5 linked regions of the Sus scrofa genome follow. The protein of the gene in region 1 purifies or fractionates together with the protein of each later gene. This does not show direct contact. Links are inferred from orthologs where the notes say so. Each region holds a gene or a part of one and is shown in the gene's direction. Other genes may lie near its edges.

Region 1 (6,102 bases):
GCTCCAGCCCCTTCACTCACAGATGGAAAAACTGAGACCCAAAGCAGCACACGCTTGGTGAGAGCAGACTTAAATCCACGCTTCCTGAGGAGTTCCTGTTGTGGCGCAGTGATTAAGGAATCCGACGAGGAACCATGAAGTTGCAGGTTCGATCCCTGGCCTTGCTCAGTGGGTTAAGGATCCGGCGTTGCCGTGAGCTGTGGTGTAGGTCACAAACGTGGCTTGGACCCTGCGTTGCTGTGGCTCTGGTGTAGGCCAGAGGCTACAGCTCCGATTTGACCCCTAGCCTGGGAACCCCCATATGCTGTGGGAAGTGGCCCTAGGAAAGGCCAAAAGAGAAAAAAAACAACAACAACAACAAAAAAAAAACCCACCCACGCTTCCTGAAAACAGCTCTGAATTGAACCCTGACGAAAAGCAATCTCTCAGTTTGGCGAATTCCTCTTCCTTGTGGATGTCCCCTACCTATATTCTCTCTTCTGGGCTACTGGATACAGTAGGCTAGTGTAACAGCTCTGTGGAGCACCAAGAAGACAGACCTTGGATTCAGGTTGACCTGGGTTCTGGTCCCCGGGTGAGAGAATCACTTACCTTGCCTCAGGTTGCTAATCTGTGAAATAATCTTCATTTATTCATCAAATATGTATTAACTGCATATCATGTGCCAGCTGTAGGGGTACAAAAATGGGCAAAGTAGACATCATCTCCGATCTACAGAGGTGAGCATGGAAGGCAATTAAGCCATTATAACATAACGTAGTAGAACCAAAGTTGATGGATTATAGGAGCAGGCAGATGGCAAGAGAACCAAACCTGGCCAAACAATAAGTTGGAGTTAGCCAGGCAAAAGACAAGAGTGAAAACATTTTAGGCAGAGGGAACAGTATGTGCAATGGCCTGGAGGTTAGAGTTCAAGCTCAGGGCCTTTGGAGAACTGAAGTGGCTTAGCACACCTGGTGAGGAGAGTGTGAGGTCGTGATGAGGGTGAGGATATAGAGATAGGGCAGATCACAAGAGGCCTTTGAAGCTGTGATACAGATTCGGACTTCATCTTAACCATAATGGGGCTCTGAAGGCTTAGAAACAGGAAAGTCATCATGAGGTTTGTGATTCAGAAGGATGATTCTGGCTGTGGGGAGTGGGGTATAGAGAACCAGTCCTGGAGGGAGGAAGAACAGTGAGGAGATTTTTGCAGTAGTGCAATTGGCAGGTGATGGTGGCTTAGACCGGGAAGTGGCAGTAAGAGTTGGAAAGTCAAAAGATTTCAGAGATAGAAGTGGCAAGACTTGGGATCAACAGGTATGTGGAAGTTGAGGAAGAAGGAGCAGTTGACTTCCAAGTTCCCTGGCTTGGGCAAAGGCTGGGTGTCATTCATTCACTGTCAGTGGGAACATCAAAGCTGTTGCACACATAATGACAGGCACATAGCAACTACTTGGTAAAGGCTACCTACAATTATTATTGTAAGTTCAGATCCAGATGTGTAATGCTGGACAAATATCCAGCAGGGAGTGGGATATAGGGTTGAGTGAGACGGTCACGAGAAGAATCAGTATGATAATGTGCGCAGGCATTTTGCACAGTTCCCTAAACACCATAAGCCCATTAAGTCTCATGAGCTGAAAACACCACCAAAAAAAAAAAAAAGAAAGAAAGAAAAAGAAAACACAGCTCTATTCTGTTTATTACTGCCACCCTTCAGTAAGAACTTCAACTAGGGTTGGCATCTGAAGGGAGAAAATTAGGTGGCACTCAGAAGAGCTTGTATTGCTTGGTTCCTAAGATTGGCAGGGAACCCTCACCTCTCCCGACACCTTCGTGGTTCGTGAGCTCATCTGAATTCTCCAACTGCACCCTGAGGTAGTTTGGGCAGGCATTATCATTCTTGTTTCACACAGAGGTAACAAGAGGTAAAATTTACACAATGACTTGCTCAAGGTCAGACAGTTGGTAATGGTTCGCCCATGCCTGGAACAGAGGTCGTCCTGACTCCAAAGCCTGAGATCCTTTCCTTTGCACTGACATGCAGAATAATTAATTGAGCACTTACTGTGTCCTAGGCACAGCGGGAGGCCCTTTGTAAGCATTAATCTCTGAGGCGTAAATTGGAATGATCATGGCCATTTTATAGAGAAGTGGAAATTGAGGATTGGGTGGGTTTTAAATGGCTTGCCAGAGATCACTCAGGAGTGGCAGAGCCAGGATTAGCTTTTAGTTCTCCATCCGTGCAGTAGCAGGAATTTTACCAACCTCATTGTGAAACGCTGGTTGGTGACGGAGCTGGTTTATAAACTTCGCTCGATTCAGGTACACTCAGTTTGGGGGTGCGGGGGGAGGAGAAGAAAAAAAGAGGTGTGGGGGGGTGGAGAGGAAAAGGCTTTGCCGCGCCTGCGCACTAGCCACAGGGGCGGGGAGGTCAACGCGAGGGCGAGAGTGCGGCTGTGCCAGAGAGGGCGTGTCTGCTTTCCAAACACCCCCTGTCCCCACGGTTCAGTCTGTCCCAAGGTTGGCCCGTCCGACGTGAGTGACGATATCTCTTAACCAATCACCGCAGAACTAGGCTTGTTGCCAGGGTGAAGCGGCGCCCGCCTCCTCACCGGATGTGGATTTGCAGGTGGGTGGAACCGGAACTGACGCTTCAGGGTCTAGCTAAGCTCTGGGAGTGTTGATATTTTCCTGTCAGTCCGGCTGACTGCAGCCAAGTTGGAAGCCTGGAAGGGAGGCGATTTTAAAACTGTCGTGTGCGGGGCAGGCCACGCTGTCCAGTTGCAGTACCCCCGCTTGCGAGTCAGAGCCTCGGGGAGAGAAGAGCAGGACGGGGACGACGAGAGGAAAGGCAAGGAACGAGGGTGCCGACTTTGACTGAAATCTGAGACGGAGGGCAGGGGAGGGCGATTATTCGCTTCTGATTGGCCCGTGGGCATCACCGAGGACCCACGCAGCCGCTTCGATTGGTTGGTACCCGCAATTGTTGTGGCGGCGGTGAAGATTTTGCCCACGTACTTCCGAGAGAGAGGCGGGGCTGTGCCCCGGCGCGCGTGCGCAACGCCCCGGGCCCCACCCGGTAGTTCAAGAACCTGCGAGGGGGCGGGGCGAAGAGGTGCTTGTTTTGGTTCTGTTTCCTTTGAAGCCGAAGGCCGGAACGAGCGTAGCAATAATCTTGCTGGACTTGGGGAGAAGGCTACGACAGGCTCGCACCGGTGCCTTCATCTTGGACTTCACATCCGGGTTCTCCAGCCGCGTGACCTGCGCGCCGCCGACGGTTCGAGAACCGGTGCCGCGATCTCTTTATCCGGGTCCCGGCGATCCCGTCGTGCTTCGCGCACCACTGTAGCCCCCTCATCCGGGTCCTCTCCCAGCGTGCCCCGCGCCGGGTTTGCTGGGGGGTACTCGGCAGTGCCGCCATGACTATTCTCCCCAAAAAGAAGCCGCCGCCTCCCGACGCCGACCCAGCCAACGAGCCGCCGCCGCCCGGGCCGCTGCCCCCGGCGCCGCGGCGCGGCGGGGGTGTAGGCGTGGGCGGCGGTGGCACGGGCGTGGGTGGTGGCGACCGCGACCGTGACTCGGGCGTCGTGGGGCCCCGTCCCCGAGCTTCGCCACCGCCTCAGGGCCCGCTCCCGGGGCCACCAGGTGCACTCCACCGCTGGGCGCTGGCCGTGCCGCCCGGCGCCGTGGCGGGACCCCGGCCACAGCAGGCCTCTCCTCCTCCTTGCGGGGGTCCCGGCGGTCCCGGCGGCGGTCCTGGTGACGCGTTGGGTGCAGCGGCAGCGGGGGTGGGCGCGGCGGGCGTGGTGGTGGGTGTGGGCGGCACCGTGGGCGTGGGCGGCTGCTGCTCCGGGCCGGGCCACAGCAAGAGGCGGCGTCAAGCCCCCGGGGTTGGCGCGGTCGGCGGGGGCAGCCCTGAGCGCGAGGAGGTCGGCGCAGGTTACAACAGTGAGGACGAGTATGAAGCGGCTGCAGCGCGCATCGAGGCCATGGACCCCGCCACCGTTGAGCAGGTATGGGCAGGAAGGGGGGTGACAGGTGAGTGGGTGTGGTGGATGGAATCCCCAGACAGGGTAAAGACCCAAGGAAGGCTGTTTTGAGATGGAGCCTGTGTCTTCTCTCTGAACCTGGCAGTCTTTTCTCTGGTGGTGGCGGGGGCGTGAGACGCTCTTCTCCCACCCTCACGCCCACCCCACCAAGGATTTGGGGTTAGAGGCCCCAGATAAGATGGAGGCTTTGAAGATGGGCTCTGTGGTCTTTTCTAGAACGCGTAGTTGTCATTCCAGGCCCTGGAATCTCATCGTTTAGGGCCAATAGGTAGGAACTCCCCAGGAGAGACAGGCAGGATGGAATGCCTCTGGAGAATGGAATCTCATGACTCTCCAAAGGATCTTGGTCTGTGTTCGGTGGCTTGAGGTTTCTTTTCCTCCGGGGTAAGAGTCTAAGATTCTCTCTCCGCAGAATATAAATAAGGGTTATTTGTGAAGTAAGTCTTGTGAGAAGGACCTTCCACTTCCACTTGTGAAGTAAGTCCTGTGAGTAGCTCGTTCTCCTTGGGAACACGGGTATGGTGGGATTCTGAGGGAGAATCTGACCTTCCTCCCAGGGGCCTGAGCTTCCCCGCAGGGAGGGGCTAGAGCTCCCCGCTTGGGCGTGAGGCTCCCCCTGCCCCCAACCAGGTAATCCTTTCTCACCAGGGAGAGGGAGGTGAGATCTTCCCCAGTGGGGCCTGAGGTCTTCCCCCCCTTGAATAGAAGGGTCTGGGTGCTTTTTACAATCATAAGAAGCCCCGAGGCTAGGAAGTTTTCCTTACTTTCTGTGAGAAGTTTGTCAGGTGCTGGGGATGTGAGTCCCGAGGCCTCCCCTCGAGCACTGGATGTTCTGAGTCTCTCCTTGAGCCAGCTGTCCTGCTTATTTCCAGGATCAGGGAAATATTCTGAGCTTCCTGAATTGCTTTTAGCAAGCTTTTTCCTTCCCAGAGACAGGGAAGGGGTTTGGGACATCCCCACTGCAAGCAAATTCTGCAGCCACATTCCTCTCCCCCTTGGCTCAGGTAAATCTCTCTGTGCTTCACAGGGGCCAGGGCCTTGTCTTGAGCCCCTGTCCTTGTTCCCTTTCCACCCATTACTACTACTCTAGGCAGGGTAAATTATCTGCCAGGGTCAGGGCTAGGAGTTGTTTCTTCTCTCCCTGGTTGCAGTAAAGTGTGCCTTTTCTTCTCCACAGAAATAGGGAGTCCTGGGCACGGAGAAGTCATGTGCTGCCATGGTGACTAGTAGAAAGACACCTCCTTACCTCCCCTTTGCATCTCCTAGGCTAGAATTCCCTCCCTTGTGATTGTCCCTATAAGAACATGGAACTAAAGCTCTGTGATGGCATGATATCTTTCCAATGACAGAGGAGAGGCTTCCTGTCCTCCCACATCTTGGGACAAAAGGAGGAAGAAGATGCTTTTTCTTGCCTTACCTGGTTCAGCATGGGGATGAAAAGAGAGGAGATTCTTCCTGCTGCCTCAGGCTTGATTCTGAACTGTCACTGGGGGCAGTTTGTAACCTGGAGATCAATCAGATCCTTTGGGAAAGAGGGGCGTTGTTGAGAGGGAGCCCAGATGGTGAATCTGGTCCTTGTTGTGACTGCTCAGACTTCCCGTCTGTCCTGATGCTGTGACTGTATTTCTGTTGCCTTTAGGAGCCCTTTTGGCACCCTGGGGTCTCCGTACTAGGAAGGTGTTGTCAGGGGTTTCATTTCCCAGGTATGGCTGCCTTGCCAAGAGTCTCCCATATGAAGAAAAGGACTTGAAAGTATCCTGAGCTTAAGGGCCCCACGGAACATTTTGAGAAGGGGGCCTGCATGCTGAGGTGGTGGGAGAAGTTGGACCTGGCACTGTAGCCAGAGTGCTTGGATTCCCACTCTGGCTCTGCTGGGGCTTTGCTGGTTGAATCACAATCATTCTGCCTTTGGTCCCTGGGCCTCAGTTTCCTCATTGGTCAGTTAAGGAGTTGGCGAGGTATTCTTTAACTTTGGGATTTTTAGGGAACTCATGCCACAGCCCTTTGGGCCTGAAGGTGAGAGAAAACGGTAGGTGTCTTTCGAGGAAAAACCGGGTTCCTTCCTTCT
Region 2 (6,006 bases), about 2.3 Mb from region 1:
TGAGCCACGACGGAAACTCCAACATTAAAATCTTAATAGCAGTTTGCTCAAGGTGTGAGATTTAGAGTGTTGGCTACATAATTTCTAAAGTATTTAGGTTATGTTTGAATTTTTAATGATGAATATGCATTATTAGTGTAATGAGGAAAAGTAAGTGATTCATCACAGGAAAGAAAAAAGAATGCTTCTCAGGTTTCTTGCTTAATCAACAGGGTAGATGGCAGGATTCATTCATTCATTAAGCAAATATTTTTGAGCATGTAAAATATGCCATGCATTATTTTATGTACTAGGAATACAGCAATGAATAAAACAAACAAAAATCCGTCTCCATAAATGGCTTTTATTCTAATGGAGAGAGAAGGGTATGACTAAAAGAGAAACACACAAGGTTGGTAAGGAGGAGGATATACAAAAGAATCAGTTCGGGACATGTTAATTGGAAAATTCAGAAACATATCCAATTGCAGAACTGAGGTAGGCAGCAGAATTACAGATCTAGAATTCAGTAAGCCAGGTCAAGACTGGAGATAGATATGGTAGCAGAAAGCATATAAAATGGTGTTTCAGATCTCCTTTCCTGAGTCTGATCACGTCCCACTGCAGACACTTTACAGAGGAAGTGCTGAGGAAAAACAGGCAGCTGACAGGGGAGGTTGCTATGCAACAGATGAGGAAAGTCATCCAGCCAGGCAGAATTGATGTTGGCCCTTGGGGACCAAATGCTGCAGTTCCTCCTAGCATTAGCTTCCTTTTCATATGTTGGCTCCTGGCAGGAACTGATGCCAGAACAAATGTGAAATATACAAAGATCTTGGATTTTGGGAAAATATCAGTTCAGTTTGAGTCATCTCACATCTGTATATTATTTTCTGCCTTTTTGAGTCTCTCTAGTCATTCTGAAAGCAAGCAGCATGTGTGTTGTTGGGTAGGATCCCAGTAATTGCCCTTTGCACTTTATGGTTTGCATATTGAACAAACCTGGCTCAGAAAAGTCCAGTGACCTGAGCAGGCTCACACAGCTAGTAGACACTGGCTCACCCTCCATCCCACGAATTGAAGCCCAGCCCAGGAAGGGACCAGGGCAAACATTCTGAATCCGGGCTTGCCATGGCTCAGAATTGCAAGTGCCTGATTGTCTTGGCCACTCCAGCGGGCACCAGAAAGGCCTCAGGGGTAGGGCGTTTGTGCCTCTCACAATGAAGGGGCCTGACGGCCGGAGCAGGGAGTGGACCCCAATGAGCAATTCCCATATCTGGATGGACCCACAGAGCAGGAGGGCGGGGAGTGGGAGGGGGCGGGGCGGAGGAAGAGCTGGGACCTCTATCTGTTTCCTCCTAAATTGAGAGCATGAGCTTAAGTCTCAGGGAACACTAACCTTGTCTGTTTGGGACAGATGTTGACAGGGCAGGAGGTGGGATAGATCTGTTGCTTAAACTGATAAAAGGAGGGTGCTTCAGTCCCTGGGCCAGCGCCGGTGGATCGTGGGTTTTAGGGTCTGGAAGACCCAGGACAGGACCACATTTTGCTTTCTCTGTTTACTGGCTTTGTGGCTTTGTCTAGTTCATGCAATATGTTTGTACCTCAGCGTCTTTATCTGTAAAATGGAGATGCTGACATCCACCTCCCAGGGCTGCTGTAAGAAGAAAACAAGCCCCAGCATAGATCGTGCTGTGAAGTACAAACTGTGCCCTTCCCTCCCCTCCTCCCCACCTCCCCACCTTCCCACCTCCACACACAAAATAAATAGCTGGAGCTGCACAAAGGGCAGGAAAGAAGCTAATGTTTATGAGTCTGGGATCTGTTGAGGAGGGGGGTGGAAATCATGGAGTCACGTGGCAGGCACAGACTCTACCTCTAATAATGTATCCTCTGGCCGTTCCTTTTCCTGGGTCCCTAAGTGGATGTGCTTATTTTTAGCCCGAGCCAAACACTTGTAGCAGTTAGAGCCCCCCTACAGAGACCTCCTTAATAGTGACCTAAGTGCTGCTAGACTAGGGGGTGGAGATGCATGCCGACCTGACAGGAGGGGCCGTGCGAGGGGAGGGATAGAACAGAGACGCATTGCGGAAAAGGTAGGGGGCCAGTGTGTGGGGCAAGGGGTGGGATCTAGAGGCACTGCGAATCTGTTTGGGGGAGGGGATATAGAGAAAGGGGAGGGATCGCTGTATACTGTCGACCTGGTTGGTGGTGGGGTGGTGTGTTGGCAAAGGGGCGGGATTGCCTCCCACTGCACATGCGCACCTTAGTCTTCAGGACGAAGCTTTTGTTGGGAAAGCAGGCGGGACTCTTATTTGGTCGGTCAGTTCTTGCGCATGCGTACAACCATCTGAGGCGGTGGGTGGTATATTAGGCGAAGAGGCGGGGTCGTCCTAGCTGCCGCGCTGGCATTTTCTCCTGGACAAGGAGAGGGTGCGGCTGCTGAGAGCCGAGCACTGCAATCCCGATCCTCTGAGTCGTGAAGAAGGGAGGCAACGAGGGGGTTGGGGTTGGGGCCTGAGGCAAGGTGAGAATTAGCCCCCAGACAGGGCATCTGCCCCCTGGTGCGGGCCCCCCATTTTTCATCCCAATCCCTTTACCCCGGATTCTGATCCTTCTTCCACTCCCCGAACCCTAATTCACACCCCTCACCCGATCCTCCCTTATTCAGAATCCCTGTTTGCTCTCTGAGCCCCTCCCATCGTTCAGAATTTACAGATTTCTCGACCTCAATCTGTACTGTTATATGATTCCTCCTGATTCGGAAACTCCATTCAGTTTCCCATATGCGAATCCCAGTGCTATCCGCCTGGATTCAGAACTCTTAAATCGGTTTTCCAAACCCCGATTTGAAGCTTCTCCCCGTCGTAGCTTCTAGGGATTCAGAACATCCATCCGGACACCCATTCACTTTTCCCACTCCGATCTGGCCCGTTCCCCTCACATTCAGCACCTCATCCGCCCCCACAATCAAACCTCAAACACCACCGTCTCCCCACATTCATTCCTTCCCATTTACCCTCTGTAGTGTAACGCCTAACTCCTCCCCCACACCCCCCTCCCCAGGCTCTGCTCTTGCCAGAGGGACAAGAACCATGGCTCAGAAAATGGACTGTGGTGCGGGCCTCCTCGGCTTCCAGGTGAGATCTCCACTCCCCACCCCACCATTTCCCCAGCCGACAGTTTCCCCCTTCCCGGGCCCCTTTGGCTATCCAAACGCCTGGATCAGATTGTGCCTTCTTGGTGCCTGGATTCCTTCATTTTTCAAATTCCCATGGTTTATGGGGGAGGGGGCGTCCCTTTCAGCCATCAGTCCCTGCTCAGAGAAAGGGGAGACCCTGTTAGTAGTCAGGGCAATCTGCCCAGAGAATGCGGGTTGGGTAAGGAACCATTTTTTTCCATAGTCCTGATGCTTGTAGAGCTCTTTGCCGCCCCCTCCCCCAGCCTCCTCCACCCTCCCTTCCTCCTGCATTCCCCACCCCTTGCGACCCCCTTATTCTCCTCAACTCCTCCAGGCGGCACTCTTGCTCCACCTCCTCCTGCTCCTGAGCTCCTACCTCACACTGCAATGTTCTGCTCTAACCTCACTCCCAGATCAGCACCTGCCTTCCACTTTGCCCCCCTCACCTCATCGCCGCCCGCCCCATGTTTAACCTCTGCCCCACTCAGCCCCTCTCACACGTTCTGTTATCACTTCATTCCTCTCAGGCCTCTAGATCTCTGCCTCAGCCTTCCTCTCTTTGCACCAGCCGCCCCCCCTGCACCTCCTCTGAGCTACTCCCCCGCTCCCAACCCCACTTTGTGAGGCCCAGAGATTTATTTTTTCCCCTTGTATTTGCAGGCTGAGGCCTCTGTAGAAGACAGCACCTTGCTTATGCAGACCCTGATGGAGGCCATCCAGATCTCGGAGGCTCCACCTACCAACCAGGCCACAGCAGCTGCCAGTGGGCCAAATGCTAGTCCTCAGAGTTCACAGCCCCCATCTGCCAATGAGGTGGCTGATATTCAGGCTTTAGCAGCTGCCACTAAGCCTAAGACAGCCTTTAAGGCCCAGAATGCCACCACAAAAGGCCCAAATGCTGCCTATGATTTCTCTCAGGCTCTTAATGCCAAGGAGATTCCCAGCACACCACCTACGGTAGCCTTTAAGGCCCCAAATGCCCCCTCAAAGGGCCCAAATGCTGCCTATGATTTTTCCCAGGCAGCAACCACCAGTGAGTTAACTGCCAAACCTGAGATGGCCTTTAAGGCCCAGAATGCCACTACGAAGGTGGGCCCAAATGCCACTTACAATTTCTCTCCATCTCTCAATGCCAATGAGATGGTCAACACTCAGCCTAAGACAGCCTTCAAGGCTTGGAATGATACCACTAAAGCCCCAACAGCTGAAACCCAGACCCAGAATATTAACCAGGCCAAGATGGCCACTTCCCAGGCTGACATAGAGGCTGACCCAGGACCAGGTATCTGTGAATCTGATGGTGCAGCTGCACAGACATCAGCAGATGGCTCCCAGGCTCAGAATCTGGAATCCAGGACTATAATTCGGGGCAAGAGGACCCGAAAGGTGAGATCCCTGCTAGTTCCACTTTGCTTTGGGCCTCTCCTTTCTTCTGTGAGGTTGTTCATTTGTTCTAAAACAAAACAATATATAGCTGCCTGTATTCAGCTAGGTTGTAGGGGATGATAAGATGTATGTGATAATTCCTGTCCTCTGAGTGTCCACGGACTAATGGGGAGATGAGACATGGACATGTAATATATCCAGTCTGCATGTAATTCCTTGTGTATTTTGATAGTAGCCATCATGTGTTAGGTCTTGGCCTAGGCACATTCACACAGGTTATCTCACGCACTAAATCTTCAAGATGCTTCATACCGGCTGGGGTCATAGTTTCAGTTTTACAGGGAAGGAAACTAGTTTCCAGAGAGGTGAAGTGACTTGAGTGATTTGTCCAGGGTGGTACAAGCAGAGCCAGTGGTGAACATAGGAAGAGGAGAAGCTTCAGGCCCCACCCTTGGGTTGCTCCTGGCCTGGTTCAGAGATGAAACTCCTGCCTGGAAGACAGTGAAAGACAAGCCCAGGACTCAGGGTGACCATTGGCTAGTGGGTCAGGCTGTCACTACAGGTGAGGGTTTTAGGGGGCCTTCCTGGAATAGATAGGGCAAGGACATAGAAACAGTTGGTGACTCTGACCTTCCTTCTCTTTGATGATGCAGATTAATAACTTGAATGTGGAAGAGAGCAGCAGTGGGGATCAGAGGCGGGCCCCACTGGCTCCAGGGACCTGGAGGTCTGCACCCGTTCCAATTACCACTCAGAGCCCACCTGGCGCACCTCCCAATGTTCTCTGGCAGACCCCATTGGCCTGGCAGAACCCATCAGGCTGGCAAAATCAGCCAGCCAGGCAGACCCCACCAGCACGACAGAGCCCCCCAGCTAGGCAGACCCCACCAGCCTGGCAAAACCCAGTTGCTTGGCAGAACCCAGTGATCTGGCCAAACCCAGTGATCTGGCAGAATCCTGTGATCTGGCCAAACCCCATTGTCTGGCCTGGTCCAGTTGTCTGGCCGAACCCACTGGCCTGGCAAAATCCACCTGGATGGCAGACCCCACCTGGATGGCAGACTCCACCAGGCTGGCAGGGTCCTCCAGATTGGCAAGGCCCTCCTGACTGGCCACTGCCCCCCGACTGGCCACTGCCACCTGATTGGCCACTTCCCACTGACTGGCCGCTCCCACCTGACTGGATTCCCACTGATTGGCCAGTTCCACCTGACTGGCAGAACCTGCGCCCCTCACCGAACCTGCGCCCCTCTCCCAACTCGCGTGCCTCACAGAACCTGGGTGCCTCACAGCCCCGAGATGTGGCCCTTCTTCAGGAAAGAGTAAGAATTGTAACTGCAGTCACTTTCCCTCTCCCTCTTGCTCTTTTCCCTCTTGTCAAGTGGCCTGTAAATCGCTTATAACTTTAATGCTTTCTTTTTTCCTTCTCAGGCGAACAAGTTGGTCAAGTACCTGATGCT
Region 3 (6,093 bases), on another chromosome or scaffold:
AACCACTGAGCCACAACGGGAACTCCAGAAACTTAAATATATTTTTAAAGACTGTTCTAACTTATCAAGAGAAAGGAAAATGATTACATATGAAATAAAATTATGAGATGTAAAAGAATTATCATTTTGAGCTTTATTTGTATACTTTGAAAATGGGCTTTAAGGAGCTCCCTGGTGGCTCAGTGGGTTAAGGATCCAGCATTGTCACTGCTGTGGCTTGGGTTGCTGCTGTGACTTGGGTTTCGTTCATGGCCTGGGAACTTCCACATGCCAAGGGTGTAGCCAAAAAAGAGGGGGGGGGGAGCTTTAAAATGTTCTAGGCTTCACCAAAATTCTAGGAGAGATGAAAGGGAGAAAAGGAAGTTGGAAGTGTTTACAAGTTTTTCCTGTTTTCCCTAAATGGTTATTTACATTTTTATGTTATGTTAAAGATGAATTCCCTGAGGAGCACGAGCGAACCTTAAAAATTCACAGCCATACAATTTCCCTATGTGTTGTTTAAGTATTCTTGTAGTAATGCTTGGTAATCATAAAAGTCTGTTTGAGGAAACCAGAGACCTGTACATAGGATAAAAACTAAGGATAGGCCTCCCCTCTCCCCAGACTGTGGGAGTGGGTAAGTTACTTAGCCTCTTTGCGCTTCATTATCCTCACCTTAAAAAGGCAGTAATAATACCTTTCTCATAGTTGGTGTGAGGATTAAATGAGATCACACAGGTAAAGTGCACCAAGAGTATAGTAAAATATCAAGTTTTAGCTCTTAATGTTGTTGTGGTAGTGGCCAAAAAGGGGTAAAAAGAGGAGCTGTAGCAGATGCCTCAAAGATGCAGATACTAACAACAGCCCCTGGTAAAGAGAAAGGGTTAAAGCACTACAATCTTCCAAATTGCACCTGAACTATTTTCAAAGAGGCATGATGAATATGGTCAAAAACTCCTTGTCCTTTTTCTTGGAAGGAGCCAGGGTCTCTGTGTGAGATGGAGGTGTGTGCCACAGGGAGGTGTGTGCGAGGCAAAAGAGAAATAGGTGACTTTGAGGAATGGGGGCTGGATTTGGAAATTAGAAAACCACTAGGCTTGCTGCCACAGGACTGTAATATGACTCTTTTATTTCCCATGTTAAGGAATTGACTTGAATTCCTCTCAGAAATCGATAAGATTGCATTTGGCCATGTTACATACCCTGCTTGACAAGCAACAATATTTAGATTTTATCAAATATTGGAAATGAACTGATAATTGACTGGCTTCTATCAAAAGGTAGCATTTGGATTAAAAAGGATGTCAAGCGTCTCAGAGTGGAATTAGAAGACTGGGTTAACTCCTGGCACTAGCATTTACAGAAGTGTAAACTTGGTAAATCTTTTCACCTCTGAAATGGTTTTAATTTGTGAAAAGGGAAACCTACCTAACAGGTTGTTGACATTAAGGTCATTCATAGCCTCTGAACATAGAGATGCATTTTTTTCCCCTATATTTTGCGTTACTGGAAAAAGGTTTAAAAATTATGACAACACATTTAAACTTAGTGTTACCAAATATGCTTGAATATGCATCGACACTCTATGATCTCAAAGGACTTTAATATTTTCAACTAATAATGACAGTCAATTCGCTGACATTTTCCTCCCCTCAATGCACTTTTTAGCACACCACACATTCATTCGGTTGCTCTAAAATGTTACTTCTTTGGCACATTTTACAAACACCCAATCTGTACCTTTCCGGACACTAACGGACAATCAGATTGACTCTAGAAAGTGTTTCTTCTATAAGCAACGCCTTTTCGAGGTTTGCCCAGGGTCTGGCTAGCGCCGCACTGTCGGGAGTTAACAGCAAATAAAGCACCGGTCGCAAGCGCGCAACACTCACATATAATACTTCAACTTGTCTTTTAGGTTAATTCTGCTGCTCGAGTTCAAGTCCCCGCGAGAGGAAGCGTATTCCGCTTCACATTAAGCAGAAGAGTCTCGATTCATTAATGGGGCTGCAGGAGGGAGACGCCAGCAACTGAGTAGCTGGGGCACTTGGAAGAGAGCGGCACCTCTGCAACCCCTCGAAGTTTGTTTCCATTTATAAGACTGGTAGCCACCTTGACCCTCCTAGAGAGGTGGGGAAAGTTAGCCCTGGACCGGAGGCGGGAAGTAAAACCGAAGACTGAGAACTTTCGCGAGGAAAACACGCCTTCACGTTTTCCTGTTTTCAGCGCAGCTCAAGACCCAGAGAGTTTAAGGGTGGTGAGAGCAGGTGGCAGAACTCCGCCCACCACCGCGCTTCTCCTCCCTCAGCTTGCACGCTCCACTCCCTCGGTGAGGTCCCGCCTCTGAGGCGCGCGCGAAGAGTTGTCGCGCCGTGAACTCTGGGAATCGTAGTGCTGGCTCTGGGAATCGCCACGGGAAAAGCGACTCTTGCCTACATACCCCGTGGTGCCTTGCGGCGCTGGCCGCTACCGGATGTGTGCCTGGCGCCGGAAGAGAAGACGGCCCCCCTCTCGCAGCCCGGCCATCTTGTGGGAAGAGCTGAAGCAGGCGCTCTTGGCTCGGCGCGGCCCGCTGCAATCCGTGGAGGAACGCGCCGCCGAGCCACCATCATGCCTGGGCACTTACAGGAAGGCTTCGGCTGCGTGGTCACCAACCGATTCGACCAGTTATTTGACGACGAATCGGACCCCTTCGAGGTGTTGAAGGCAGCAGAGAACAAGAAAAAAGAAGCCGGCGGGGGCGGCGTTGGGGGCCCTGGGGCCAAGAGCGCAGCTCAGGCCGCAGCGCAGACCAACTCCAACGCGGCGGGCAAACAGCTGCGTAAAGAATCCCAGAAAGACCGCAAGAACCCGCTGCCCCCCAACGTTGGCGTGGTTGACAAGAAGGAGGAGACGCAGCCGCCTGTGGCGCTTAAGAAAGAAGGTAAAGCTGTGGTGGAAGCCACGGAGACCCGGGATGGAGGGAAGGACTGAGGGGACTTGTAGCTACCACTTGCTTCTGGGGTCCGAGGGTCCACGGGAGGCTTTGCCGCCGATTTTCTCGCGTTTCCCCCACACGACAAAGCCAGGTCTTCCGAAGGTGCTGGGAGCGTGGTAGCCCCAAGTTCAAACCGCCGCCTGCAAGGATCCTGGAGCCACCCCCTTCCCGCCTCAGCCTCTGAGCGGAGGAGCGTGGTCCGGAGACGAGCTGCTGCTCGAGCGTGCTCGGGATCCTGAGAGGCTCTTGTCTTCCCGCCGGATTCCTGGGCGGGCGGGCAGGCGCATGGACCGGGGCTCGGGGAAGGGAGCTGCTTCCACGGGCATTTGTAGTTAGCGGGGCAGCAGGGACTCGGCGGCTTCTTCCTGTCGGAGCTCTCCTGCAGCCTGCTGCTTCGAGGTGCGATTGTCTCTCTTAGGCTCCTGTCCTGCCATCTTGTCCCAGGATGGCGCGAGGTACCCTGAGCAAAGCCGGGGGTCGGAGTTTCCACCAAAGCTACCCATCCTCTCGAGCCTATCGGATATCGTGGAGAAAGCTGCCTTTCTTTGTAGGTGCCGCATGTGGCTTTATTTTTCCCTCTTCGTCCCTTTAATCGTTACAAACTTAATAACTGGCTGGAAGGAGTTAAGCTGTTGGGAGGGAGAGAAATTTGGCCACTCCGGGTTGAACAGGAGCGGGAATTCCCACTGACGACCGGTGATAGCACCTGAGGCTCGTCCTGGGATTATGATCCTTTCCCCCCCGTAGGACCCCTTCCCGCAGGCGCTGTTTCATGTGGTGTGTGGCCTGGCCTGGGCCTCGTGGTGAAAGAAACGCGGAGACTGTCACAGCGTTGGCCGCCGCGGAGCCGTTTTGAGTCTGTACCTTTTCTCCCCATGTGCGTGAAGCGTGGTCAGGATTTCATTGGCGGCTAGCAGTTGCTTCCAGGTCACTGTAAATACTTCGCAGGATTGTTTTGAATTTGGTATATGCATTCTCGGTACTGGTTTGTCCTTTGCAGTGGATTAAACCCAGACATTTTGGGAAAAGCAAGTGTACGTACATGACCTATAGCAAATCGGTGTATAGGACCTAAGCGTAGAATCTTAAAGGTTTCCTTTGTGTGTTGAAAGTTGAAAATTTTCTTTAGTGCCACGTGCTTCTGAAAGGAGTTCTTACTACCTTAATTGAATTTGATAATACTCAACTAAAAAGTCCAAACAATTGTGTTATGTTTTAATTTGGAATTTTTAAAAAATATAGAGAGCTTTATGAGGTTTGGGACGAAGAACCTAGGTGGTAAATGAAAGAATTAATTGTATTAAAATTACTGGTTGGTGAGGGATGCACAAATTTGAGTATTAGAAAGCGTGTATACATTGCTCAGGCCAAATATCCATGCAGTCAACTAAGCCTTATAGCTACCTGTAGCACAATCTAATAAACCATTTAATTTCTATGTTAAGGAACATTGGCTTATGTAATTAAGCTATACTCAGTTTACCTCCTTCATCACACTAATCCAAAGAAGAGTACATGAAAAAATTGAATCAAGTGTGTTCACCCATTTTGACTGTTGAAAGCATGAAGCATGGCTAAATATCTCATGTTTTGATTATAAAGTCCATCTTTGAAATAAGCTCTTACCTGGAAACTAGTGTTTTAAATTACAGAGTTAGAAAGTTATTCTATAAATTTATAACCAAGGCTGAGTGTTCATTCAGTGGTCTATCCTTGGGAAAACTTCCATTGTTAGCTATCAGCATTTTCCTTAGGTCAGCATTTCTAACCTTAACTTGCATTAAACACTGGCTTATAAATATAGTGAAAATGGTGAATGAAAAAAATTTTGTTTTGAGATCTTACTACTTGGCAGTCAGTGTTCTGGGGTTGGGAAAGGAAAGAACTGTAAACAAAGTCTCCTTCTTGTACTGGGAAGGATTTTTATCCTGATCCTGTGTTCTCTGCCTTTGAGTAGAGGTCCTGGCACAATTCTAGACATGCCTTACATATGTGTTTAATGATTATATTTTATGAATTTCGTAGTTTGTTTTTTGCACACTTGAGGAACTTGAGAATTGACACCAAAGAATATCACTGAGTATACCAAGGTGTTTTTGTTTTTGGTTTAATATTAAAAGCCTGGAAGCTAGTAAAAAGAGAAGCTTGCATTTTAAAATATCAGTCATTGGGTGAAAAATTTTCAATTCTGTAAGCTAACCTAATGTTGAATATTGGGGTGGGGAATCAAGCCATTGTTCATTTGGGCGTGTGTGTGTTTTGGATATTATTAGGATTGGTTCCGTAGCTCCACCCCAATACACTGCTTCTGATGAAATTTATTTAAAATGCCTTGGTGTAAGAGCTAACATTTGTGGTCTGTCCTGAGAGTTTATGTGGAATGGACCTTAAAATTTCATTGAAGAGTTTGACCTCTACCATTTTACTCTTTACAAGCAGCCGGGCAATTGGGTGCATCCTGATGGTGTTACACTTTCTTAGCAAGAAGGAGAATGAGCCAGTTTAATTTCTTGTTATGAAGCCAATTCCTGAGGTGCTTTTTGATTTTGTCAGAAATCCGTGGTTTGGGAATTAGAGCATTCCTAAAATTTTACCGTCATGAATTTAACCATCAATCTACTTCTTATCCTTGAGGCCACCAGTAGTGCATATTGGTTGCCTTCTTGGCCTCTGACACTAATGGGAAAAAAATAAGGGGAATTCATCATTTAGTTTCTGTTGTTTCTTAACTATTGCTTAAAACGGCTCCGCGTGTGTGGTTTTTAAAGATTCTTTAGATACAAAGATACTTGTAAAGGCAAACTAAAAAAACCTCCCCATAATAATAAAATAACTGTTGTCATTTGTTTTCCTTTCAGTTTTATAATTTCATAGAATTATCAGTCTTTTTATTCAGCTGTTCCCCCCCCCCCCAGGTTATAGAAAATAATATGGCTTTAACTGTGGTGGGGGTGAGGGGGATGTCTTTATCTGGTGATGGCATTAATTTGCTTGATTATTTATGAATGGCTATTTGATATCTTTAAAACCAAAATGTGTCACTCGCCTTAAATAAGTTTAGAATTTTAAATTGAGACTAGTATCTTGAAAAGCAAGGGAAGTAATGGCTGTTCAGATAATTTCCAAGGCAGTTACAG
Region 4 (5,839 bases), on another chromosome or scaffold:
GCAGTGAACACCCACCCTGTCTACCTCTGCCCAGAGGGCCCCCGGTCCCTGTCTCCCGCCTCCCCTCCCGACCTGGCGCGGCCCAGTCTGTGCCCACACCCAGCCCCGGCCACCGCACCCACCGAACGCGCACTTGGACTCGCACAGCCTCTCCTCGTCCGTGGAGTCGATGACATAGATGACGCCGTGGCACTCCGCGTAGTACTGGGCAGGAGCAGACAGGGTGCTGAGCCGCGGGCACCAGGCCGCTGCCCCGGGGGTGGGGCACAGAGGAGGTGCGGCCCCAGAGCCTTGGGTGGCGCTGGAAAGTCCACTTTAAGGCCCTTCCTGAGACCCGCCTGCCACCGCTGGCCTGACAGCGGCCCCGGAGGGAGGAGCTCTCAGTGCAGGCCTGGGGTGGGAGTGCAGGAGCAGGGTCCCTTGTGCCAGTAGGGGCGGCAAGCCTGACGGGTGTGCCACTGGCAAGCCACAGAAAAGCCACAGGAAGGCCGCCGAGGGGCAAGTCTAGCCCATTAAAGCAGCCGTGTCCCCTGTGTGGGACAGCAGTGCCGGCGTCAGCGAGCTCCGGGCTGGACTAGCACTGGGAGGGTGGTCGGCCCTGGGCCTTCTGACAGCCCCCAGCCCCAGGGCCCAGGGTGTGGGGGGGTGAATGGCAGCACCCCGGCAGGAAAGACACACAGAGCAGGCGCCGGGCAAGTCTGCCTTCCACCCCAGTGAGATAGGGGCACAGAAACGCCCTGAAGCCTGACTGCTTCTTGGCTGCTCTGTCCCAGCTGGAAAGCCAGGGATCTGGACACCCCCCCCCCGCCCCACAGGCCCCCGTCCAGTGCAAGACAAGCTGCCATGTGGGCAGCAGCACACAGCGTGAGCGGAGGGCAGCAGGTGGGGGTGAAGGTCGCCAGCCATCTGCCAGAGGGGAACAATCGGCCACCCGACATGATGCTGGTGCAGTGGTGCTGGGCAGCGTGGGGACAGGGCAGGCCCCAGGACACTACATCTGGGAGCCAGGGTGGGAGCAGAAGCCCAGCTTTCCACCCTCCCAGAGACTCAGTGGGGGCTGGTGTGTGGTCACCCCGTGGCCCCCCGCTCACCAGCCAAGTGGCAACCCCCCCACTGCCTCCCAGGCATGTCAGGCAGCCCCATCCATGGCCAGGGGCGACCACACCTTGTTGCTGGCAGCAGGCAGGGCACCCACTGCACTCAGAAGTTGGGGAGCATATGAGAAACTCAGGGTCCACCAGAGACGGCAGGCTCGACGATCAGGGCTCAGCCCCTCGTGATGAGGCCACCGGGCCAAAAGAAGTGGACAGAAGGGGGTCACAACCAGCCACCAAGCCAGCTTCTCCTTGGCAGAAGCCACCCCCAAGGCGGAGGAGCGAAAGGAGTGTGCACCTGCCACGGGCTGTGGCTTCACTGCCTGATGGCGGGCACTGCACCCAGTGCGTGGCCCGTGTTACCTCCTGCAGGACCCACTCTGATGCACCTTACCCTGTCACAGCTGCCCAGGGTGGCCCACTGTGGGGACCTGCCAAGGGAATGGAGTCCTGGCCAGCGTGGCCTGACGTGGGGCAGCTGCCCGAGACGCCCCTGCCGTGCCCAGTCCCGAGTCCCCAGCGCCCCCTGGTGCTGATCCCCAGGATATCCTGCACCCCAATCCCCAAGGTAGCCTCTGCTCCGGAGACTCCAGCCTGTGACGGAACTTCAGGACCAGTTTTGCTCCCATGTGGGTCGAGGACTTGAACAAACAGCCCCTGGCTTGACTCTGCCTTTGTCCCACTTAAATGGCCTCAGAGGACCTGTCAGTGACGTTCTGACCACGAGACAGAAACCGCCCACTTGGATGGAAGGCAGGCTAGGGAGGACACCTTTGGGGGACGAGGAAAAAGTGACTGGGCACCTGCTGCGAGCGTCAAACCAGAAATCAGGTCCTGAGCACCCGGCCACCAGCCAGTGTTGGGATGGGCGCGTCTGCGCCCCAGCACTGGGCTGCGCCACACCCTGGGTGGGCGTCCCCTGGGCGGGGCTGAGGGAAGAGGCCCATTCTGTCCTCTCTGCTGGACCCACTGACTTGGCCTTGGGCTGTGTGGGGAGGAGAGCCCCATGTGGAGGTCGGAGGAAGGACTCAGACCTCCATCAAAAGCGGAGGTGGCTGCTGTGGGCCTTGGAGGACACGTCCCCTGCGGGAGCACAGGTCCTGAGCCGGAACACATGGCAACTCAGGCCCCGGCGCTGAGGCCGAGCACCACACTGGCGCTGTGTCTTCCCCACGTCTGCCCCTCGGCCATCCTCTGTTTCGTCCTGTGGTGAGTAGCCATAACATCGCTAAGCCTGGAACCCAGCATGTCCCTGTTCTTGGGACAGCGCCCTGGGCACTGGGACAGCACAGGGCGGCTCAGGAGCCAAGCTGCTGACCGCAAGGAGAGAAGGTGAGCCCAGGAAAGGCAGGGAGAGACCAAGGTGGCCCGGGAGGGACGGTGCGAGAGGCAGGCCGGGAGCCTGTGTGGCCACCCCCCTCTTACCTTGTCCCACAAAGACTGCAGCTCTTCCTGCCCCCCTAGGTCCCAGAACATGAGGCGAGCCTTGCCCACGTCCACTGTGCCGACTGGGCGAGAAGAAAACAGGAGAGGCTGTGGCCTTGGTCCCTGACACCCCACCTCCCAGCCCTCCTGGGGAGGGGCTCTCTGGTGCTCTGCCTGCCTGCAGGCCTGTGGCCATCACAGCACCCTCAGGGGTCTGCCCGCCAAGCCCGCAGCCCTCAAGAAACCCCCTTACTGTTTAGACCCACGGTGGTGGTGATTTTGGACAGACTCATCCCCTTGTAGTTCTTGTTGAAGCGGGTTTTTGACTGCTCCAAGAAGGTCTGCGGGGAGAGGGAGAGAGAGGCAGGAGAGAGGAGCTGGAATGGTTTTCCGGCCTGTTTCTCAAGTTTCCCTCCTTGGGCCTATTCCTTTAAGACAAAGCAAAACAGCACACCGTTTTGCTATCAAGGCAGCCGGTGCCAGCCGTCCCCCGGTCTTAGAGGGGGCTGGGATCTTTGGACAACACGCAGCTAAATGCGTGATACCAAAAGTACCACGTTCGGGGCGGGGGGCGCGGGGCGCTGACGGCACGTACCGTTTTCCCGGCATTGTCCAGACCCAGGATCAGGATGCAGTACTCGTCCTTTTGAAACATGTACTTATACAGGCCGGACAGCAGCGTGTACATCCTGCGCGGAGACCAGCGATCGGTCACCGGCGATCCGACCCGCACCCCGCCTCCCCGAGCGGCAGAAGGGTCTGTCGGCCTGCTGTCCGCTCAGACCTGGAGCCCCGGGCCCTGCCGACCCGCCTCCTCTCTGCCCGGCACTGCCGCCGGCGCCTCCGCAGCTGCTCCCGACCCGGCCGGCGCTGCCGGCACCCTCGCTCCCACGTCCGGCCTCCCTCCGGGCTTCGCTCCGCCCAGGTCTCCTCGACGGCCCTGGGCCAAGACGGCCGCAGGCGCCCCTCAGAGGAGGGCGCGTGGGGGCGGGCGGCGGCCCCGAGTGGCCGTGCGGCTCCGCCCGCCCGCCCCGGCCTACCTGCGCCCGCCCGCCCGCTCGCCCGGGCCGCGAAGCCGGGGAGACGCCGGAGTGGGGGAGCCGCCAGGGCACCGGAGCTGCGGCGCCTGACCCTCCGACCCCGCGCCGACCCCGCGGTGACCCCGCGCGACGCCCGACGGGACGCGGGCCGGCCACTCGGGGAGGGGCGGAACCGTCCCGGCGGCCCCCGCGCCAAGCACTTCCGGCGGTGGCGGCGCGAGGGCGGAAGTGCCTGTCGGCTGCGAGGGCGGAAGCGGGGCGCGGGGCCGCTGGGGCCGCCGAGGCCGCCGGGCCGTCTGTGGCGGCGGCCGGGAGACCGTGCGGAGGAGGGCCCGGCCGGAGCGAGAGGGTCTGGGGCGTGGCGAGGTGACGGGCTGAGCCGGGGCGGGGGTGCGCGGGGCGTGGGCCGGGGCACCCGGCTGAGGCGCGGAGACCTCGGAAGAGCCTACGGCAGCGCCCCGGGGCGCCTGAGAAGGGAGCTGCGGCTGTGGGGCCAAGGCCGAGAGCCGGCTCTGGCTCGCCGGATCGGAGCTGGAAACCTCTCTTGGCCCAGACGGGAGGGGGGCAGCTCACGGTTCCGCGGGCTGTCCGCCCAGGGCCAGCCTCGCAGCGGTGGCCCGTCCCAGGCTCATTTGGCTTCTCTTCCCCGCAGCTGTGGCCCCCACGCCTCCCCTGGGAGGACCCAGAACACCCACCCCAACCCCGCGGCCTGGCCGAACAACCAGCCCCTCCTGGCAGGATGGACGAGGAGAGCCTGCAGGCCGCCCTCCGGACTTATGACGCGCAGTTGCGGCAGGTGGAACTGGCCCTGGGCGCCGGCCTGGATCCCTCGGAGCTGGCGGACCTGCGCCAGCTGCAGGGGGACCTGAAGGAGCTGATCGAGCTCACAGAGGCCAGCCTGGTGTCCGTCAGGAAGAGCAAGCTGCTGGCCACGCTGGACGGAGAGCACCCAGCCCCGGAAGATGCGGAGTACGTGGCTTTCCAGAAGGCCATCGCCGAGGTGGTGGAGGTGCCAGCAGCGCCCCGGGCCGAATTGGAGACTGTTCCTAAGGACGAGGCAGGGCCAGACCCCTCGGAGCCTGGAGAGGAGGAAGAGGGGGAGGACGAGGAAGACGCGGCCGAGCTGAGTGGGAGGAAGGTGAACGCCCCCTACTACAGCCCGTGGGGCACCCTGGAGTATCACAACGCCATGATCGTGGGCACAGAGCAGGCGGAGGACGGCGCCCCGGGCGTGAGAGTGCTCTATCTGTATCCCACTCACAAGTCCCTGAAGCCCTGCCCCTTCTTCCTGGAGGGGAAGTGCCGTTTCCAGGAGAACTGCAGGTAAAGCCTTGCCTCCCCCTGCGGCCTCTGGGGTTGCGGCCTCTGGGGTGGGGGGCTTGCGCTCAGGGTTGGGGTTGGCCCGCTGTGTTTTGGAGTTTTGTCCTTCGTCGCCCAGCAGGGTGCTGAGAAGAAGAGCTCTTTGGGGGCCAGGGGGTTCTTGCAGCAGATGCTCTCCTCCAGCTGTTTGCTCGGATTTTCGGGGTACATCAGGAGGTGCGGATGATGAAAAGAATGGGGCCCCCCCCCCCCCCCCCCCCGGCACTAGTTTTTATTCTTCAAAGGGAGACTTCTGAAGATTGTTTATGTTATGGGAATTGTCAAGCATCCAGGACATTGAAGGAGGTAGAACAACCGTCCACCCCCCCACTTCTGGGGTTTTGTGGACTGTCAGTATTTTGCCAATCTTGTTTCACCTGTTCCTAGACTTTTAAAGCAGATTGTAGAGGAGTTCCGTCGTGGCGCAGTGGTTAACGAATCCGACTAGGAAGCATGAGGCTGCAGGTTCGATCCCTGGCCTTGCTCACTGGGTTTAGGATCTGGCGTTGCCGTGAGCTGTGGTGTAGGTCACAGACGCGCCTCGGATCCCCCGTTGCTGTGGCTCTGGCGTAGGCTGGTGGCTACAGCTCCGATTCGACCCCTAGCCTGGGAACCTCCATATGCTGCGGGGAGCGGCCCTAGAAAAGGCAAAAAGACAAAAAAAAAAAAAAAAAAAAAAAAGCAAATTGTGGAACTTACCGGGGTTTTCATGTCCGTGTTCTTCAGGATGCACTCATCTCACTGCTGAAGGCCTTCTAAGGACGTAAGAAAGTGTCATTGTCACGCCTACCAAGCTTAAGACAATAACGTTTTCACACCCCAGTCTCCTCAGTCGCTGTGGCTATGTTGTCGTTTCTTTAAGCGTGAAACTTTTAACCTGACGCTTCACTTCATCCTTGCAAAGGAGTCACGGAGATGGCT
Region 5 (5,759 bases), on another chromosome or scaffold:
TGTATTAATCACAATAATTGTGTGATTGAAGAACACCTAGGATGAGGAAGAGAAATAGAAGAATCTTCCCTTAGCTTTTTCTTCTTCTTTTTAGGAGTTTCAACAAAATTGAACGAGGAAAACTACCCATTTAAATTTTTTGAAAGACATACAGCTGGGAAAAAGTATTTATTTTGGCTTTTTAAAAACCCTACTTGGTATACCCAAAGCAAATTATGTAGGGTTTAGGTAGATAATACAAAAAGGAAATAAGGTAGCCTCTGTTATTTGATGATAGAGTATTGATGTGGATAATTTCCTCAGGTGCTGACATAGCATTAAATGGTCTGAGCTTGTCCATTTAACAGCTAGTGGCTGTTTCTTTCTTGTATCATTCTGACTCCCCTCCACATCCCCCCCTTCCCACATGCAAGTTTTCTGTCGTTTTTGCTCAGATGTTCAGAAGCGTATTTAAAAGTGTTTGTAAATGTAGCTTTAGGGCAATGATAACATATAATTCTTCTCATTGAATCCAGAACCACCTCTGCCAAACATTTTATCTAGGATTTTTTTTCTTTTAGTATTTGTCTTATGGACATTTGATTAAGAAAGGCAATAAAACATTAAAGTGTTTGCCTTTCTGGGAATTCCCATCATGGCTCAGTGGAAACAAATCTGACTAGCATCCATGAGGATACAGGTTCATTCCCTGGCCTCACCTGTGGGTTAAGGATCTGGTGTTGCTGTAAGCTGTTGTGTAGGTTGCAGATGTGGTTGGCATCCAGCATTGCTGTGACTGTGCTGTAGGCCAGCAGCTGTAGCTCCAATTAGACCCCTAGCCTGGGAACCTCCATATGCCTTGGGTGCAGCCCTTAAAAGACAGAAAAATAATTTGCCTTTTTTACTGTCTCAAACTAAATGTTTTAACCTTAGCTTATATTTCTAATTCATTTTATTTTTTTTTTATTTTTTATTTTTTTTTGGTCTTTTGTTGTTGTTGTTGTTGTTGCTATTTCTTGGGCCGCTCCCACGGCATATGGAGGTTCCCAGGCTAGGGGTTGAATCAGAGCTGTAGCCACCGGCCAACGCCAGAGCCACAGCCACACGGGATCCGAGCCGAGTCTGCAACCTACACCACAGCTCACGGCAATGCAATGCCGGATCGTTAACCCACTGAGCAAGGGCAGGGACCGAACACGCAACCTCATGGTTCCTAGTCGGATTCATTAACCACTGCGCCACGACGGGAACTCCTCTAATTCATTTTAAATTTAAAGTCACAATATAACAATTCACACTCTAGAATGAAATTCTACATATTGTTAATATTTTCCTCAATTTTAGTCTGTGTATCCTTTCAAGCCTTTGTTTTGTGTATGTTTTTATGTCATTGTAAATATTGCTTAATTTGAAGGGTTTTTTTTTAATAATTTGATGGAACAACATGCAAAATGAAGAGTACATATCTTTTACTTAGTTTAGGAGATCACCTACTGCTAAGGAGAATCAGAAAATGACTATTTTCTGGAGTCACTGTAATTTTCATAGTAGTCACACTCAGATGGTGATTTTAAGTATTGGTATATTATAGTAGTAAGAAATAATTTTTATCTTAAATGTTAAAGCTCCCAATTGTTCTGTGCAAGACGGCAGCTATACAGAATCATTCCAGCTTTGTAAATATTAGATTGACTGTGTTGCTAGGAAACCCAAAATAAAAAAAATTAACCAGGAAGCAGGATGAAATCTAAATTTTGTGGTTATAAACAGTGCAGCTTTGGGTAATGTTCTGTGATCAAAACAGTTTTGTGGAAACTGTTTTTTATGTAAGGTAAAGAAAAAAGAAGCTTCTTAACGACGCAGGGATCATTTCCTGTTTCATTTTTCATTTTCTTTTCGAGTGAAGAGCTTTTGTCCCTCACTAGGAGAAGGTCTGTTCCGAATTTACTACTCCTGAATTGGTTAGGATCCCTTTTAAGTGTGTGCTTTGTCCTCCGAAAGCAACTTGCTGCTAGTGGTTTTTTTTTTTTTTTTTTTTTTTTTTTTTTTTTTTTTTTTAAAAAAAAAAAAAGCTGAGTAATGCTGGAGCCTTCTCATGTGGCTGATGCAAACCTGGAGAATTTGCATCATCATCCAGCCGGAGTAAGTTTGTGTGACAGGCAGGAGCTTAAATACCAGCCCACGAGGAAGCTGAGCTGGTCTGTAATGATAGGGCGGCAGCAGCAGCAGAGGCAGCAGCAGAGGTAGTCGGGGAGGTGGAGGAACCAGAACACCATGACCGAACACACAGGTGTTTCTCAGGAGTAATTAGATTTCTGAAGGCAAAAATATACCTGAGCATTTTTACCTGTGAGCCCAGTAACAACTGAGAAGGAATCTGAAAGCAAAGAGGAAGAGAACCATCGGTCAAGAAACACCAACAGGCACCAAAGTTGAAAGTTTAGGGGGTTTATTTTTATTTATTTATTTATTTTGTACTTTTTTGCTACTTCCTTTTCTCCCCTGCGGGTGACTACAATGGTCAGAAAGCCTGTGGTGTCCACCATCTCCAATGGAGGTTACCTGCAGGGGAATGTTCACAGGAGGCTGCCCTCCCTGGGCGGCAGGGAGCCACCTGGGCAGGAGAAAGTTGTGCTGAAGAAGAAAATCACTCTGTTGAGAGGAATCTCCATCATCATCGGGACCATCATCGGAGCAGGGATCTTCATCTCTCCTAAGGGCGTGCTCCAGAACACAGGCAGCGTGGGCTTGTCCCTGGTCGTCTGGACCGTATGCGGGGTCCTGTCACTGTTTGGTGAGTGCAGCTGCTTCCCTGGGGTGTGTCTGGGGAGCGCAGCAGTTTCCTCTCCGGGAGAGCAGAGGTTCATTTCTACGGAGGAGTGAATGAATGGCACAGGCCACTCCAGATTTTCTGATTTGGGGAGGAGGTATGCAAACTATTCAAACACAGTGTCCACTGTTGGCAGACTCCTGAATTCCTTGAAATTGCTTCTTGTAGGCTGTGTTCGCTTTTCCACAGACTATTTTTCTGACTTTCCTCTGTGGCAATGAACATTAAGGCTAACTTTGATGACCCAGTAAAATACCTGTGAGCTTTCTGTACCGAGTAGTACTTGTGCTCAGTTAGTGTGTCTGGGACATCTTGGCAGCTGGCAGTCCAGATGAAACACCTGTGAAGTGAAACCTGGTGTGGCCTATTTAGCACGGAACTGAGTGTTCAACAGAAGTTTTACTCACTTTTTATTGGCAAAACAAATGGGTGGAAATCTTTTCCATTTTAATGTTTTAACTTCATGTGTTTGTTAGTTCCTAGTATTCTTTAAAAAGTCCTTGATGTGAAAGTGACGGCACATAATTCATTCCCTATCATAAGTGGGAAAATTGCAAGGGTCCGAGCATCTTTTATTCTTTCAACCTTTTATCTCTCTCCAGTACCTATAAACTTTTGCAGTAAAAATTATACAATTGGAATTGGTTGTTGGTTTGCTGTGTTTGCACAGACTCTCTTTTCTTCATTGCCAGTTCACTTGGTCTCCAGAGGCCAATTTATCCACCTGTCTGCTGAGTTAGTCTGAACAGAACTGGTAGAAGTATGATTATTATTTTTCTTCAAAATCTAGATCTCTTCTATTGATTTAATGATTAATAGGAAAGAGTTAATAAATGACCCCTAATGAGGTGGGCAAATTATTAGAAAGACACCTCAGTTTGTTGTAAAGGTGGCAAAAACTGGTGGATGGTCAAGAGAATGAAATTTTTACTTACGCTATGGAAAAAGTGTATAAGACATTTGTGCTCTTCTCTGGCAAATACTGTGTTTTGATGCCCAAAGGACTTATTATTTTTTAAAATCTTTTTATTTATTAAAAATATTTTTGTAATTGTTATTTCCCCAATACAATTTTTTTTTCTACTGTACAGCATGGTGACCCAGTTACACATACATGTATACTTTCTATTTTCTCACATTATCATGCTCCAAAGGATTTATTTTTAAAGGTACTAACACTATTACTAAGTACAAACTCTCAGTCCTACACATAACAATCCACTTATTCTTAAGGCCTTGTAATGTTTTAATGCATTAGTTTGAATATTCATCTAAAGAACTCAAACTTCCATTATTGGGAAGAATATATTTTAGATAAAATTTGTTAAAACAAAACTTTTAGCATGGAAAGATCTGCAGAGGACTTATTTTTAGGTGTTTGCCAAGAGTTTGTGGTATTCATATGGAGTGGCATGTATATTTATAGACACAGAGAAACCTAATTGTTTACCTTCTTAAATGACTTTGTGTACCCTAGGGCTTTCTTAATCTTCTACAACACTTGGTATATTCAGCCTATATCAATTACTAGTTGGCAAAACCATCACCAGTTTCCATGACTTTGCATACTATGTGTGGTAACTCCCACTATGTGATTCCATTTTTGTACCCAACAAAATGTTATTATGATAGAATAAAATGAGTGGCTCTCAGCATTAAACTGATTAAAGTAATGTTGATTTCAACTGTGAGAATATGCTTTTGCCTCAAGAAGTTCAGGGGGAAAAAATGCTAAAGAAACTAGCTAAACTTACACATGGGTTAGTAATTTGTGATTACTAATTGCAGGGAGTATGCTTCTGTACTAATCTACATTTGTATTGCATTTGTCACTCAAGCCACCAGGAGCCTTTGACAGGAGTGTTTTCTTAACAGGAAGCAAAGCAAATAGAAGGAAAAAAAAATCCTTGGTCTTAAAGCTCTAGAACTCTGGGAGTAAGAGTAAAGAATTTGGTTTATAATTTTTTAAAGCCAGGGTCAATACATGGATCCTTACATTCTGTTTTGAACTTTTTTCATATGGGTAAAAATGGTTATTTGGGGCTTGAGATTTTTACATGAAAATTTCATTTCTCCAGGAACTAAATTTAAACCTGGGACAACCATTCTAGAATTTCAGAAAAGCACACATAGGTCTAGGTATTGATTCTCTGGCGATAAGTTCTGAGATACATAGGACACTTTCCCGTAACATTTCATATTAGGTGCTCTTTTGTATAGCCTGCCAACATGGCAGCTGGTTTCCAAATACAGTAAATTGCAACTTGTTAAAATGAGTTATAAACTAGACAAACTGTATCGGTGATCTGCAAATATCAATCTGTAGGCTAGTTACTCTAGAATTAGCTGTGCAAATTTTAAAATATTGGACCTACTTGGATGCCTCTACTGGAGACTCTGGTCTCTCTTGGTTAGAGAGTAGTTCTGGGATATGGCCTTAGCATTTGTTCTTATTTTAAATAAAAGTCCTCCCAGGTGATTCAGATACAGTACTAGTTTTAAGAATAGGATAAATAACAGTAAGATTTTGTGGAATATCCAAAATATATTAATGTTGGACTGTTCTACCTGAAGCTTTACTGATTAGTAATAATTTGCCACACTTTTAGTCTCCAAAGTAGCTAAGGCAGAAATTAGGTCTTACATTTAAGTACTTAGCAGTATGGATAGAACTTTTCACATAACATCAAGATATATTTTCCATTTTCTTTATAATTGCTCACATCAATACGTATTGCTATATTTCATGAGGTGTTTTCTGTGTGTCAGGCCCAGGTACTGTCCTTGGCACATATTTTCATATTTATACATACAAACCTCTAATGAGGTAATAATTATGATCTTTAATTTTATAGATGATGAACCTGAGGTTTTGGGAGGTTATGTAACTTGCTCAAGTCCATGTGAATTTTATTGCTAAATGTTAATATTTGATCTGTAGTTAATTTTA

Evidence for each region.
Region 2: the proteins of OTUD5 (region 1) and MAGED1 purify together in Homo sapiens (affinity purification with mass spectrometry, with the first as the bait; 3 studies listed by BioGRID). This does not show direct contact. The link is inferred for Sus scrofa from reciprocal best matches to the Homo sapiens genes OTUD5 and MAGED1.
Region 3: the proteins of OTUD5 (region 1) and SERBP1 purify together in Homo sapiens (affinity purification with mass spectrometry, with the first as the bait; 3 studies listed by BioGRID). This does not show direct contact. The link is inferred for Sus scrofa from reciprocal best matches to the Homo sapiens genes OTUD5 and SERBP1.
Region 4: the proteins of OTUD5 (region 1) and ZGPAT purify together in Homo sapiens (affinity purification with mass spectrometry; 3 studies listed by BioGRID, with this or other methods). This does not show direct contact. The link is inferred for Sus scrofa from reciprocal best matches to the Homo sapiens genes OTUD5 and ZGPAT.
Region 5: the proteins of OTUD5 (region 1) and SLC7A11 purify together in Homo sapiens (affinity purification with western blotting; 3 studies listed by BioGRID, with this or other methods). This does not show direct contact. The link is inferred for Sus scrofa from reciprocal best matches to the Homo sapiens genes OTUD5 and SLC7A11.

What each region holds. Positions count from the first base shown.
Region 1 is NC_010461.5:43,025,999-43,032,100, reverse strand, and holds the start of OTUD5 (OTU domain-containing protein 5), read left to right. Parts: upstream 1-2,643; 5' UTR 2,644-3,404; coding exon 3,405-3,998; intron 3,999-6,102. UniProt on the Homo sapiens protein: Deubiquitinating enzyme that functions as a negative regulator of the innate immune system. Has peptidase activity towards 'Lys-48'- and 'Lys-63'-linked polyubiquitin chains. Can also cleave 'Lys-11'-linked ubiquitin chains (in vitro).
Region 2 is NC_010461.5:45,320,165-45,326,170, forward strand, and holds the start of MAGED1 (melanoma-associated antigen D1), read left to right. Parts: upstream 1-2,374; 5' UTR 2,375-2,506; intron 2,507-3,045; 5' UTR 3,046-3,074; coding exon 3,075-3,119; intron 3,120-3,820; coding exon 3,821-4,546; intron 4,547-5,199; coding exon 5,200-5,868; intron 5,869-5,977; coding exon 5,978-6,006. UniProt on the Homo sapiens protein: Involved in the apoptotic response after nerve growth factor (NGF) binding in neuronal cells. Inhibits cell cycle progression, and facilitates NGFR-mediated apoptosis. May act as a regulator of the function of DLX family members.
Region 3 is NC_010448.4:145,184,244-145,190,336, forward strand, and holds the start of SERBP1 (plasminogen activator inhibitor 1 RNA-binding protein), read left to right. Parts: upstream 1-2,461; 5' UTR 2,462-2,589; coding exon 2,590-2,902; intron 2,903-6,093. UniProt on the Homo sapiens protein: Ribosome-binding protein that promotes ribosome hibernation, a process during which ribosomes are stabilized in an inactive state and preserved from proteasomal degradation.
Region 4 is NC_010459.5:62,638,781-62,644,619, forward strand, and holds the start of ZGPAT (zinc finger CCCH-type with G patch domain-containing protein), read left to right. Parts: upstream 1-2,207; 5' UTR 2,208-2,303; intron 2,304-2,519; coding exon of another isoform or gene 2,520-2,602; intron 2,603-2,772; coding exon of another isoform or gene 2,773-2,860; exon of another isoform or gene 2,861-2,947; intron 2,948-3,114; coding exon of another isoform or gene 3,115-3,207; exon of another isoform or gene 3,208-3,246; intron 3,247-3,303; exon of another isoform or gene 3,304-3,525; intron 3,526-3,559; exon of another isoform or gene 3,560-3,705; intron 3,706-3,786; exon of another isoform or gene 3,787-3,925; intron 3,926-4,211; 5' UTR 4,212-4,298; coding exon 4,299-4,882; intron 4,883-5,839. Other genes in the region: ARFRP1 (ADP-ribosylation factor-related protein 1), read right to left, coding at 123-204, 2,520-2,602, 2,773-2,860, 3,115-3,207. UniProt on the Homo sapiens protein: Transcription repressor that specifically binds the 5'-GGAG[GA]A[GA]A-3' consensus sequence. Represses transcription by recruiting the chromatin multiprotein complex NuRD to target promoters.
Region 5 is NC_010450.4:88,605,956-88,611,714, forward strand, and holds the start of SLC7A11 (cystine/glutamate transporter), read left to right. Parts: upstream 1-2,127; 5' UTR 2,128-2,496; coding exon 2,497-2,773; intron 2,774-5,759. UniProt on the Homo sapiens protein: Heterodimer with SLC3A2, that functions as an antiporter by mediating the exchange of extracellular anionic L-cystine and intracellular L-glutamate across the cellular plasma membrane.